3 linked regions of the Coturnix japonica genome follow. The protein of the gene in region 3 purifies or fractionates together with the protein of the main gene of each other region. This does not show direct contact. Links are inferred from orthologs where the notes say so. Each region holds a gene or a part of one and is shown on either strand. Other genes may lie near its edges.

Region 1 (4,206 bases), on a different chromosome or scaffold from region 3:
CTGTAGGTACCAAAGTATTTGTGATGCCCAATGGGATGCTGAAGAGCAACCAGCAGCTGGTGGACATCATTGAGAAAGTGAAACCAGAGATCAGGCTGCTTATCGAGAAGTGTAATACGGTGGGTGTGGGCCACAGCCCTGAGTTCTGGAGCAGATGGGGGCACTAGAATACTTTTGCTCCTTTGCTTGTGTGAAGGTTCTCTGAGAAAAGGAGCAGGTTCCTCTGTATTTTATAAATGACAGTGGTATGAATCCTGTAAAAATCTTGACAGTGATCTATATAGTGATCTTTCTATTGCAGGTCAAAATGTGGGTGCAACTTCTAATTCCCAGGATAGAAGATGGAAACAACTTTGGTGTTTCTATTCAGGTAAGATATTGTTGGCTATGTTGTGGTCTTGTATTATAGTGTGTTATCTTGCATTTTGATATCTGATGTAGTAAATTAGTTTGTTTCTCATCAGACTGTTGCTGTTTTCTTTTAAGGCCCATCTCTCTACCCTTCTCCCCTTTTTTCCCTTTTCCCTTTCCCAGGGTGTGGGTCTGTGTGTACTGCTGCCCTGCTAGTTACGGAACCGGGCTGAACCAGCCTGTAAACCACTGACAGGCTGTATGCCCTACTGTGGCAGGGAACTATGCCCCCAAGAGCATGTACCTTTAGGTTTCTTCCAAATCATTTGATGGTATCCAATGTCTGCAGTGGTGGAGTTGGTTTAGGTTTTAAGATCCAAATCTAAGCTTGACATGGAACTGCTACGACCTGGTACTTCTAGAGCGGCGATGGGCAGTTTCAGTATCATGAAAAGGCTTCCTTTGCAGGAGGAAACAGTTGCTGAACTTCGAACTGTGGAGAGTGAGGCAGCATCCTATCTGGACCAGATTTCTAGGTATGAAGGAACAGAGCCCTTTCTGGGAGTGCTGCTGGGAAAAGGAACCTTTTGGGGAAGGTCCTCCAGCTTTGCTGGGGCAGATTGTGCCTGGAAGAATCTTGGTACTGTTTGTCTGATTTGTAGTCTCCATTTTCCTAACAGATATTATATCACAAGAGCCAAGTTGGTTTCCAAAATAGCTAAATACCCTCATGTGGTAAGTAAATGGGGAAGTGGTGCTTTACAGTTTACATGCTGTTGCTTTCTGGGACTCTTCAGGCTACTTCATCACTGTCTTAATTTTGAGCTAGGGGCCCTGTGGGAAAAGGGGGGGCTATATAAGAATATGCAGAATATCTTCATTAGAGAAGAGGAAACTGAAAGGGGGGATTCCTTTGTAAAAGGTAGGACCTTCAGTTGATACCATGTATCAAGCACACCTGAGCTCAGGCCTCTTAGCCATGCATCTGTTTTCTGCAGGAGGACTACCGGCGCACAGTGACAGAGATTGATGAGAAGGAGTATATTAGTCTGCGCCTGATCATTTCAGAGCTGAGGAATCAATATGTAAGTGAAAAAACAGAGCTCTCACTGGCTCCCCACATAATAGAAAGAGTCCTTTTGATCCTTCTACTGCTCTCCTCTTTCCCTATGATTACAGCTAGTCCTGGAGAGAAGCCTATCTTTTCCCCAGTCTGCTTTGGCTCTAACAAGAGCTAAGTGTTTATTGGCTCCCCACCATCTCCCAGAGATGTGGATGTTTCCAACTTGAGTATTCATGGGAGCTGAGTGCAAAATATTCAGTACACTGCTCTAGGAGCGCTGCTGCAATCCTAAATTCTTCAGGCAGTACAGACCATTCTTTTGATGTCTTCTCTTTTTTGTATTGCACACATTAGCTTCTCTAAAGTGTTGCGGAAGAAAGCACTTATTTTAAGCAGAAATGTGATTGCAGGCAGGGGTTGAAAGTAGTACCAGGATGAGCTGTGAAACTGTTCAAGTCAGTGGTTGTGAAACCTGAATGCTAAGTGACATCCCCCCTTCATTTCTGAGTTGTGTTCTCCCTTTTTGCAGGTCACTTTGCATGACATGATCCTTAAAAACATTGAGAAGATCAAGAGGCCTCGGAGCAGCAATGCTGAGACCCTTTATTAAGTGTCAACGTTTGAACTTGAGAACTGTTCAGTCAACTAAAGACCGTCATTGCCTTGGTTTGTTACATGACTATCGAGATGGGAAACTGGCTGGAAATAGTTTTGCATTCTTAGTTAAAATCTAAAGAAATTATCACCTAGTTTTGTGATTGGTTTTATTCAGGTCTCAGGAGCTCTCCCTCCCTCTAGTATATCTGGTAAAGAAAAAGGCCTTGCTGCTTTGGGATGCCCTAGAGGCTACTGCAGAGTGAGAGCAGAGCGCCAGCCAGGCAGGAACATTCCTTCATGCCTTTCTTCCTACCTGAGTAGGAGCTACAGTAGAGATCAGGCCCTTGTCTTGTCCCATCTCTTGGCTGGAGACTTCTCTGTGGTCTCTGTGAATGGGGCAGACCATCTTCAGCTCAAGACTAAGCCTGGATGGTGGTGCAGTGGCTGAAAGCCAGCTCTCTTCACTGCTGGCTGCAGCTGAGCCCCTCTGCCTATGCTCTGCACTGACTTATTTGCAAAGACAGAGGATCCTGCCCCTTCTGGGTTGGTGGCCACAGCCACGTTGCAGTGCCACTGAGAGGCCTGTAATCGTTTTGTGGCTTTTTTGACTCAGTAGAGCGTGGCCCATCTGTCTCTGCCTTGGTTCTGAGCGGGTCAATGCAGAGCTGAAGGTTGTGCTTGTCACTAGGGCTGATTGCTGTACTGGCTGGTTGTGAGCGCATATGGCTTCTGCTCCAGTCTGCAAATTGACTAGAGCCACTTTCTTGGTTAAAACCAACTTCATGGGAGTCTTCATGCCTCCTTGGTATGAGCTGCTTTTGCCCAGGCTGAGAAAGGAGGAGCCAGAGGTGTGATGCTAAACTCCTGATAGCTTCCATGTGTGGTCAGACTGCAACCTGCTTTCTCCTGGCAGTGCTTCCTGCTGTCCAGGCGCAGCAGGCCAGCTGTGACAATAGTGCTTGGGGTGAGGATGGCCAATTCCTACCTGGTACCGTTGCAAACCTTGTATTCTTTCCCCTGCAAAAGAGCACCCTTGTGTGCCTATTGACTCCTCTAAGCTGCTGGAACATTTCATGGTCCATTACAAACCCCTTTGGAAATGATTGGTTGTGTTGCGTCAGTTTTTGTGTGTGGGAAGTGATCCCATAATGCTGCAGGCTCCAAATTTTTTATTTATAATATTTCTACTTAAGTCCCATATTCAGGGAATGTTAAATCATTTATTTCTGGAACCTCACTGTTTCCCAGGTCTTGTTGTTACACCCATATATTCTTATTGTGCAGTAGCCTTAATAGTTGTGTTAACTTCATTGTAACAACAGTGACAAATGGAATGAAATTTCTCTCCTTTTTTTTTTTTTTTAAAACTATTTTTTTTCTGCTTCCACCTCTAAGAGCCATGTTGTCTCTTGCTGGTTTCCTAGGGATTTCCCCAGAGTGTGGAGGGCCACCAGCCCTTGCTGTAGACTCTTCTGTTGTTGTTTGTAGTAAGTCAACTCTTAGTCTTCCCGCTAATAAATATTCTGTAACAAACCAACTGCGTTGTAGCTGCTGTCCTGGAGCAGCACTCCCCCTTGTGTTTCTTTGTATTGATTTATTTTAATTTGTTGAGCTCTCCTTGCCAGATGAAAGTATGTAAACTTTTACCATGTCAAGAAATTAAAATAAGGTACTTTGAATTCTTTTAAGACAGCCCCTTGTCTGTGATACTGAGCTCTGCAGTGTTGGTGTCTGTTCTCGGTCGTGCATTTCACACATCCAGTGGTTCCTTCCATTCGTTCTCCTCATTCTTTTTGACTTGATACTGCTATGTGTGTGCTGCTTTGTAGATTGTTTCTGTTCCTTCAGCATACTTTATATTAAGCACAAGGGCTTGAATTTGATGAGATCTGCCCTGTTCTTGCCTTTTGTGTTGTACTCAGGCCATCTTGGCTCACTCAGGTACAACTGATTTGCATGATGGTGTTCTAAGAGCTGCAACCCACTCCACGGCTGCTCTTGCATCTGTGCAGAGCAGATGTGTGCAGTGTCATAGGACATGCATCTGAATGTTGTACCTGACACGTGTATTCAGTGCATGGTCCATTACTCTCTTGATGTTACTGTGCATGCAGTACAAAGGGGACATGGGCTAAAGCATCCTCAGCGTTACCCAGAGGCGTGCTTTTGTTCTCATTCCTGTTCCTCAGCACATG
Region 2 (3,750 bases), on a different chromosome or scaffold from region 3:
TGTCTAACTGTCCCTGCATACCCATGTCCCCGCATCTCCATGTCCCCCATTTCCTGCATCCCCATCTCCTTTTTGTTTCCCTGTCCCACATGATATCCCCATAACATGCTGTCACCACATCCCCCTGACCCCATGTCACATTATATCTTCCTATCCCTCTCCCCAGAACCCATTGTCCCCTGTCCCAATGTACCCATATCCCCCCGTCCTCACCCCCTTGCCCCCCCCATCATATCCCCCCATCCCTTTGTACCCATACCCCCCTGTCCCATTCTCCCCACATCATATCCTTCTGTCCCCATGCTCCGCCCGTCCCCACACTCCATCCCCATGTCATATCCCCACACTCTCCTCTCCCTGTACCCCCCACCCCCCTTCCCCCCGCCCCCGTGGCACTGTCCCTGTCCCCAGGTTCATCCAGCGCAGCCCGGTGACGCTGCTGCGCAGCCAGGTGATGATCCCCATCCTGCAATGGGCCATCGCCGCCACCACGCTGGACCACCGCGACGCCAACTGCAGCGTCATGAAGTTCCTGCGTGACCTCGTGCACACCGGGGTGGCCAATGATGTGAGTGGGGTGGGATGGGGGGAAGGGGACAGGGAGCCGAGATTTGGGGTTGAAAGAGAACACGGGGAAGGATGTGACGTTGGGAGAGAATGTGGGGTTGGGTTGGGATGTGGGATTGTAGATTGATGTAGGTTGAGAGGGGATGTGGGATTGAGTTGGGAGAGGATGTGGGATTGGGAGAGGATGTGGGATTGGGAGAGGATATAGGTTGAGAGGGGATGTGGGATTGAGTTGGGAGAGGATGTGGGATTGGGAGAGGATATGGGTTTGAGTTGGAAGAGAACATAAGGTTGGATTGGAAGAGGAAGTGGGATTGGAAGAGGATGTGTGGTTGGGAGGTCAAAAGAGGATGTAGTATTGGGAGAGGATGTAGGATTGGGTTTGTTGCGGTTGTAGGGTTAGATTTGGGACTGGTTGGGACATAGGATTGGGGTAAGAGAGGAAGTTGGGGTTGGAGGTGATGTGGGTTAGGGTTAGAATTTTGGGGTTAGGGTTTGGAGATTTGGGGATGGCATGATGTGGAGATGATGGTGGGTTGGGATTGAAGATGGTGTGGGGTCAGAGATTTATGGCTAGAAATGTAGGGTTAGGGAGTGAAGGTTTGAGGTCAGTTTTAGGGTTAGAGTAAGGGTTAGAATTGTGGGGCTGGACTTGTTTCGGGCTCAGGGTTTGGGTTTTAGGATTAGGTGAAGATAAAGGTTTTAGGGTCAGGGTTTTAGGGTTATGGTTAGCATTAGGGTTAAGCTTAGGGTTTTAGGCTTAGGGTGTTAGGGTTAAGATTAGGGTTTGGGTTTTAGAGTTAGGGTTTGAAGGTTGTGGTTTCTGGTTTGGGGTTTTAGGATTAGTGTTAAGATTAGGGTTTCAGGCTCGGGATCCTCATACCTCATCCCCCTGCAGCACGAGGAGGACTTTGAGCTGCGCACGGAGCTGATAGCGCAGGTGCTGCGGCAGCTGGGGCAGCAGCTCGTCTCGCAGCTCCTGCACACCTGCTGCTTCTGCCTGCCACCCTACACACTGCCTGACGTGGCCGAGGTGCTCTGGGAGATCATGCAGAGCGACCGCGCGGTGAGCACACGTCACCATGTCCCCTCTGTCCCCACAGCCTCACGTCCCCTCTGTCTTCACAACCCCATGTCTCCAACATCCCCATGTCCTTGTCCCCATATCCCCAGCATCCTCACGCTCCTTTATCCCTGTGTCACCCATATCTCTGTATCCTCACATCCCCCAGATCCCTGCATCTTTGTGTCCCCATGTCCCCCGCATCTCTGTGTCCCCATGTCCCTATACCCCTAGCTCCTCCACATTCCCAAATCTCAGTGTCCCCACACCCTCATGTCCACCAGATCTCCATGTCCCTATATCCCTATGTTCCTCACATACCCATGTCCCCAAGTCCTCAATGGGCCTGTGTCCTTGCATCCCCCCATCTCCATATCTCTGCAGCTCCACATCCCTGTGTCACCACATCCCTGTGTTTCTATATCCTTTATGTCCCTCACATCTCCATGTCCCTGCTTTCCTGTATCCCTATATCCCTACTTCTCTGTGTCCCCATGTCCCCACATTCCTGTGTCCCTACGTGTGCCCACATGTCCCTGCATAACTGTGTCACCCACATCCCTATGGTGTCCCCATGTTCCCCCATCCCACAGAGTGACCCAGGGGGAGCACAGTACCCTCCTCTCACTTTTCTCCCCTCCCTTCAGACCTTCTGTCGGTGGCTGGAGAACTCCCTGAAGGCACTGCCAAAGGAGACGACAGGGGGGGCCATCCAGGTGACGCACAAGCAGCTGACAGATTTCCACAAGCAGGTGACGAGGTGAGAGCCCAGAGACCCCAGTTAGTGCTGGGAGCCTTGCTCTCAATTAGTGACCAGAGTCTGGACCCCATTATCTGATGGGACCCCAGACCTCAATCTGGGATCAGAGCCTGGACCCTGATATCTGATGTGACCCTAGACTCCAATATCTGATGGGATCCCAAACCCCAATTTGGGATCAGAGCCCTGACCCTTATAACTGGTGGGACCCCAAACCCCATCTTGAGATGAGATCCCATACCCTGGTGTCTGATGACCACAGACTAAAATTTGGAATCAGAGCCTGGACCCCAATATCTGATGGAATTGCAGACCTCAGTTTGGGATCAGAGCCCACACCCCAGTATCTCATGGGACCCCAGCCCCCTATGTGTCCCTGTGTGTCTCCCACCCCTCTAACACCTCCTCCCTTTGCAGTGCGGAGGAATGTAAGCAGGTCTGCTGGGCTCTGCGGGACTTCACACGCCTGTTCCGATAGCCTGCGCCCTGCACCCGGCACGGCGCCTGCTCCCAGGTAAGGCAGAGGAGACCAGAGGCCACCATGGGGGCAGCAGACCCCCAGGGGCATTGCTGGGGCTGGGGACATCACATTGGGATGGGGGAATTGTGTGGAATTGGGTTGCATTGGGGACATCATGTTGGGTTGAAGACATGGCACACTGTATTGGGTTGAGGACACTGTTGTATAGATTCAGCTGGGGATGTTGGACTGGGGACATTGCTCTGGGATGGGGATATTATGCTGTGTTGGGGACATGATACTGTGTCGGGGACATTGATTTGGGTTCATTTGGGGACATCGTGTTGGGATGGAGCCATCAAATTGGGTTGGGAACATGGCACTGGGTTGAGGTCATTGTTCTAGGTTCAGCTGGGGACATCACATCAGGTTGAGGTCATGGGCCTTTGTTGGGAACATTGTGCTTGGCTGGGGATGTTGTGTTGAGTTGGATTGGTGACATGGTGCTAAGTTGGGGTGGGGATGTTGTGCTGGGTTGGGGGGCCTGGTGCTGGGTTGGATAGGGGACATGGTGCTGGGTTGGGGACATTGTGCTTTATTGGGGACAATGTTCTGGGTTTGATCAGGGACATTGCATTGGGTTGGGACATGGCACTGTTGGGTTGGAGGACATCATGTTGGGTTGGGGACATTGGGTTAGGTTGAGGACATTGAGTTGGGATGAGTTGGGGACGTGGTGTTGGGATGGGGACGTGGTGTTGGGTTGGGGGCATCAAGTTGGGATGGGGATGGGGTGTTGGGTTGGGGTCATCAAGTTGGGTTGGGGACATGGTGCTGGTTGGGGACATGGTGCTGGTTGGGGACATGGTGCTGGTTGGGGACATGGTGCTGGTTGGGGAC
Region 3 (5,170 bases):
AGCACAGAATCACCACAGTTGGAAAACACCTCCAAGATCACGCAGTCCAACCATCCACCTACCACCAATATTTCCCACTAAACCACATCCCTTAGTACAACAGGGTGCAGGCCCCATCCATCTGCTGCTTCTCTTGCTTTTCCTACTCTCCACAGGCACAGTGAAGAAACCAGAAGTGAACGTCCTTCCAGCAAGCCATGAGAACTCAAACTGCAGTTTTCCTGTGCTGATCTTCAAACTTAGTTTCTGACCTTTTAGTGCCTGGTCTGCCTTTTGCCCCCCTCCTAAGTTCTAGCCTGTTTAGGCATTAAGGACGCTTACTTTGGCCAAAGGGTCCAACACCTTTAGCAAGAGTCATACCTGGAAGAGCGTGAAGCCACGGTAATACTCAAACAAAATGCAGCCAGTACTCCAGACATCACACGGCTGTGCCCAGCCCAGCTCTGCAAAGAGAATAAAGCTATCTTTGTGCTCCCAGCAAATCCCAGCAGCTTTCCACTACCTCCTTAATGGAACTGAGGCTCCCACAGCCTCAGCAGCACTCACCAAGGATCACTTCTGGGGGACGGTAGTGCCGGGTAGCCACGATAGTCGTGTGGTGCTCGTGATCGAAGGTGGCACTTCCAAAGTCTGCCACGCGGATGCTCGTGTTCCGGATGGATTTCTCCTCACAGCTCTGCAAGCAAACAAATCCTCAGTGCTCTTAATAGCTGGTGGGGGATTGAGGTGGGCTTTCCAAGGAGCCCTCTGTCCCTAGAACTGTGTAGTCCACACTCTTAACCAGAACAATGACAACTATGAAGCTCTGAGATATTTACATCTCATGTCACTGTCACAGAAAGCTGCTGAACTGCTGCTGTGGACTGAAGCCACTGAAGCCTTAAGGCTCTTAAAAGACATGGGAGAAAGAGGCCTGGCTCTACAGGACTGATACAGGACAGGGAAGATCTCATTTCTGCAGGGAGGGAGACGCAGGCTGTGCCTGGTTTAGTCACTTCAGACATAGCTCACCTTTTTCTCATTGTACAGAGTATCAAAGTCAGAGTTGACAAACAAGATGTTTTCTGGCTTGAGGTCAGTGTGAGTCAGCTGGTTGTCATGTAGAACTGCACAGGTGGGGAAGAAGAGAGGGAAAAAAAAACATGTAAGAACCACAAACCAAAGCACTCATAGGGCTGTGCCCATCAGAGCATCAAGTCCAGTCATGTACTGGACATCTTCATGTAAGGCAACTCCTCGCCTCCCTCCCAACCCATTTTGATGAGGCATGGTGGCCTAACTGTGGACTGAGTATTTCTGCTAGAGGAGGCACAGAAGAGCTTACAAGGCTCTCTTCCATTCCTATCAGAAGGAAAAGGAAGCAAATTTATAGACTACCACTCCATCCCTGCTTTGCTGTCCACAGAAATCAGCATCTCTTGTCTTTCTTACAAGCTTCAGCAAAGGAGCCAGAATACTCTGTAAAAGCAAAACCAGCAGGTACTGGAGGACAAGCAGCTGCTGGCAGCTCCAGCGGCTGTCCCTGTGTGACTCACATTTCAAGGCATGGCAGAGCTGGTAGGCCATGTGCCGGATCTGAGGGAGAGGGTATGGCTGGAAATTGTTCTCCTTCAGGAACTCAAAAGTGTTCTTGCCAAGAAGTTCAAAGGCAATGCACATGTGGCCGTGGAAGTTGAACCAGTCCGACATCAGGACACACAAGCTGTACAGAGAAGAAGACACGAGGATTAAGCATCATTCAGAGACTCGGCAATACAGTAATTCTCCCAACTGTTGCTAAGCAAAAGCTCTGAGCCAGCTGACTTGAAAGCACAATAATCCAATTTGCACACCCCTTCTCCACTTCGCTCAACCACATTTACATTAAGATCTCTAATACTCTGACTCTCGTGTCAGAGTAAGTTGTGGTTAATTTTTCCTCACTCTAACCCAGCATGTCAGCTGTTAAGATTTCAATAAACAAGTTTATAGCACAATTAGGCTCTCTTCTTCCAAAACATGGAGGCATAAGACAGGTTTCCCCTCCTAGGACAGCAATAATTCCAAACTTACAATTTGTTCTCCTTATCCTTCTCTTTGATTTTCTTCAGGACGTTGATTTCCAGCCTGGCAGCCTCACGGTACTTCCCAACATTTTTAATGATTTTCAGTGCCACCTGCGATTTGCCTCTGTAAGAGAAGAGACAAAGGAGTCAGAGCAAAAGCTGGTACTGCCTGCTATCTGTGTTCCATGGGGCCGTGCAGCAGCCTTTAGGGCCCATACTAAGAAATACAAACAAGCACGAGAAGGAGACGGCCTTTAGCAAGCACAGGACGAGTTAGTGATAGCACACAGAAAGCAGCGAGGTCGCAGGGTAAGAGATTAGATGTTCTGTCCTTGCCCCAACCTTGACAAGTGCTTAAATACCCGCAGAAATTTGAAGTGAAAGGCTCAAGTAACACCCTGAAGAGAGCTGCAGCAAGCTCTGCAAATACACCACGTCCTGACCCAGCAGTCCCTGAGGTCACTGCCACCCCAGCAGACACCTCCTCTCTCCAACTGCGCCTGAGAAGGAGGGAGATCCCAGCAGCTCCCGCGTTAAGCTGACCCTGGGGCTCAGAGCCAGCTGAAAGGTTGGGAAGAGATCGGGGTCAAATGTAATCACAGGAGAGGACGAAAAAAGAAGCGCCCTGGCAGATTAAGAGGCTGCTTTCCCATCTGGCTGGCCCAGCCCTGGAGTTCCCTGCTTTTACAGTAGGGCAGTAGAGCAGCCCTGTGCTGAAGCTCTCAGCATCAATCTTGCCACCATCACGAGGCTTTGGGTTTACAGCACGACGGACAGACAAGGCACTCGGAAATGGAAGCCGCCTACCTGGCGTGGTCTACACACTCCACGACTTTGCCAAAAGTGCCTTCTCCAAGGCTGCCGACTATTTCATCTAGGAGAGAAAACAGGAGCAGGTGTGAACTTGAGGGGAGCACTGAGAGCTGAGCTCCTGCAATTCACAGCAATAAAGTGGCAAAACAAAAACGTCTCTGACTGCTACGCTCTTTAAAACTCAAGCGGCTATTGGCTGCCTCAGGCAATTTACTGCTCGGTCCATTTATAAGCAATAAAACACTAGGAGACCCCTCCAGTACAATCAGAGAGATCTGGTCTAACACGGGGATAGAAAGTAGAGGTAAAGTTTTACGAAAGGTGGCTGTACATCGCTCTTGAAGCCAATCGCCGATCCTGCACACCAGGTGGCCTTCCTTGTCATCTTCCACGCTCCTGCTGCGCTTACTGCTCTGTTGGCTTCTCTGTACGCACCGCCCCCCGAAACGGCATACGACCAAGTGCGCACAGCGGGCAGTTCCGAGTGGCAGATTGGGTTGTCATTCAAAGGTGGAGACGACGGTGCGTCGGTGGTTGGATTTTCCAGATCCCAGCATTTCATAAGGCACACAGCATATATAACGATAGGGATATTGCAAGGGACACGTCAAGACACAAAACTAACTTCAAAACAGAAAAGTCATCAACAGCTACAGGTATGTAAAGAAAACTCTCATTAGCTACAGCCTCTCCTGAGCAGGGAAAGGCCCCCCTCTTCTCTGCAGGGCAGCAACTGGGGAGCTCCAGGCACTGGCTCGGCACCACCGCTCCCCCAGGGTCTGCACTGAGTTGTGGCACCCTCAGGGGCACCAGGGAAGGCCCCAGAGGCACAAGGAGGAGGAGGAGGAGGAGGAGGAGGGCTTTGCCAGAAGGACGTCATTTTTCTCTGCTGTCAAACACGTAAACGAGCTGGACAGGCTGCCCAGTAGAAGCCAGAGTAGCAGTTGTCCCCAGCACCCAGCCTGCTCTCTTATACCTTGGCTAACGGGTCCTCAGAGCATCCTGCCACTTCTTAACAAGGTTGATCCTCCATCTCTATGCCTGACTGGCTGCAGGCAGATCTAGCATTGCTCTTTTTCCTTAGGGTGTAATTTTAAGCCTGGAAGAACTTTAGGAACAGGTCAAATAGATCCCCAAGGAGCATTTCACTCCAAGTGTCTACTACAGGTACAAGGTCACATTTACTCCTGCTACTTCTAGCTTCTACTGGACAACCAGCCAAATGCTCCCAGAAGGACCAGGTCCACAAAGAGAGCTGTCCTAATTCCTGATCTTTTCCATTTAGCCTTAAGAATGGAAACAAAGCTCTACATTTCCATGCCTGGACTTCTATCAGGCTTGTCTTCTGTACCCCCTTGCCCCAGTCCAAAATGAGAAGCTACAGACCCCCATAGGTAAGCTGAAACAGAGAAGGTAGAGAGGAAAGAGGACAGTTGAGAGAGAGCTGTGAGACTTCAAAGAATTCAGATCACATCAACCCAAACCTGAACGCTGGATCACTGCACACAAACCACACTGTAACATTTTAGTCACAGCCCTGGCTCTTTCTAAGGCAATAATTAAGAAGTCAATGGGAAAGGAGGGAGAGGAGAAAAGCAACAGACTGTCTGGAGTTCCAAGCCATGCAGATATTCACTGTAGCTGCAGGGATCAGGACTCGGTCGCTTAATTGTAATCATGGTTAAAAAGAACCAACGTGCACGATGGAAACTTTCCTTACTGGAGAGAAGTGAGGCGCACACACAGCCCGATACCTCACAGCACTAACAGGACGTTCGGGGGACAATCCTCCCTACCCAGAGCCAAATATTTCCACCTAATCCTCCAAACGGCTTGGGAAGAAACACCCCGTTCTGTTAGAACCAGGGTGGAAAACAGCCATGTTTTCAAAGAAAGGGAGGTCTGAGGAGAGCTGCGTGGAACCAGGCAAAGAGGACACACGTATTCTCAGAGGGTGGAGGCCTCTGCTAAGCACGGTGGGATGGGGGTAATGCCAAGGGCTAATGGCTCAGAAGAACGAGGCTCGATACAGCTGGCTGACCCCATTGGGTGAGGGATACTGGCACAAACCCAAACCAACATGCCCTCACGGAGCACTCCGTACCACCGCTGCATACCAAATCCCTTCCTAGAAGCACAGATAGGCCCCTGCTGCGTGTAAACCCACACAACCAGCAGCTCAGCTGGCCTGCAGCCAGGGCTCCTCTGTTAGAGCATCACGTGTGCGCCATTCGAAGCCTTCACTCATCCCCTCCCCTGGCCATGGTAGAGCACAGCTTAGTTTCCTCACATATTAAAGCTACAGGGGCTGG

The links. Proteins that work in one complex are often made in the same cells at the same time.
Region 1: the proteins of CLK3 (region 3) and PSME3 purify together in Homo sapiens (affinity purification with mass spectrometry; 5 studies listed by BioGRID and IntAct, counting the BioPlex papers as one, with this or other methods). This does not show direct contact. The link is inferred for Coturnix japonica from reciprocal best matches to the Homo sapiens genes CLK3 and PSME3.
Region 2: the proteins of CLK3 (region 3) and TNPO3 purify together in Homo sapiens (affinity purification with mass spectrometry; 4 studies listed by BioGRID and IntAct, counting the BioPlex papers as one, with this or other methods). This does not show direct contact. The link is inferred for Coturnix japonica from reciprocal best matches to the Homo sapiens genes CLK3 and TNPO3.

What each region holds. Positions count from the first base shown.
Region 1 is NC_029542.1:4,666,807-4,671,012, forward strand, and holds the end of PSME3 (proteasome activator complex subunit 3), read left to right. Parts: intron 1-6; coding exon 7-119; intron 120-301; coding exon 302-370; intron 371-819; coding exon 820-887; intron 888-1,031; coding exon 1,032-1,086; intron 1,087-1,349; coding exon 1,350-1,436; intron 1,437-1,943; coding exon 1,944-2,024; 3' UTR 2,025-3,699; downstream 3,700-4,206. UniProt on the Homo sapiens protein: Subunit of the 11S REG-gamma (also called PA28-gamma) proteasome regulator, a doughnut-shaped homoheptamer which associates with the proteasome. 11S REG-gamma activates the trypsin-like catalytic subunit of the proteasome but inhibits the chymotrypsin-like and postglutamyl-preferring (PGPH) subunits.
Region 2 is NC_029516.1:719,993-723,742, reverse strand, and holds part of TNPO3 (transportin-3), read left to right. Parts: intron 1-411; coding exon 412-568; intron 569-1,465; coding exon 1,466-1,633; intron 1,634-2,277; coding exon 2,278-2,390; intron 2,391-2,807; coding exon 2,808-2,868; 3' UTR 2,869-2,904; intron 2,905-3,750. UniProt on the Homo sapiens protein: Importin, which transports target proteins into the nucleus. Specifically mediates the nuclear import of splicing factor serine/arginine (SR) proteins, such as RBM4, SFRS1 and SFRS2, by recognizing phosphorylated SR domains.
Region 3 is NC_029525.1:1,796,506-1,801,675, forward strand, and holds part of CLK3 (dual specificity protein kinase CLK3), read right to left. Parts: intron 3,284-5,170; coding exon 3,190-3,283; intron 2,920-3,189; coding exon 2,853-2,919; intron 2,170-2,852; coding exon 2,053-2,169; intron 1,703-2,052; coding exon 1,536-1,702; intron 1,107-1,535; coding exon 1,012-1,106; intron 677-1,011; coding exon 547-676; intron 444-546; coding exon 361-443; intron 1-360. UniProt on the Homo sapiens protein: Dual specificity kinase acting on both serine/threonine and tyrosine-containing substrates. Phosphorylates serine- and arginine-rich (SR) proteins of the spliceosomal complex.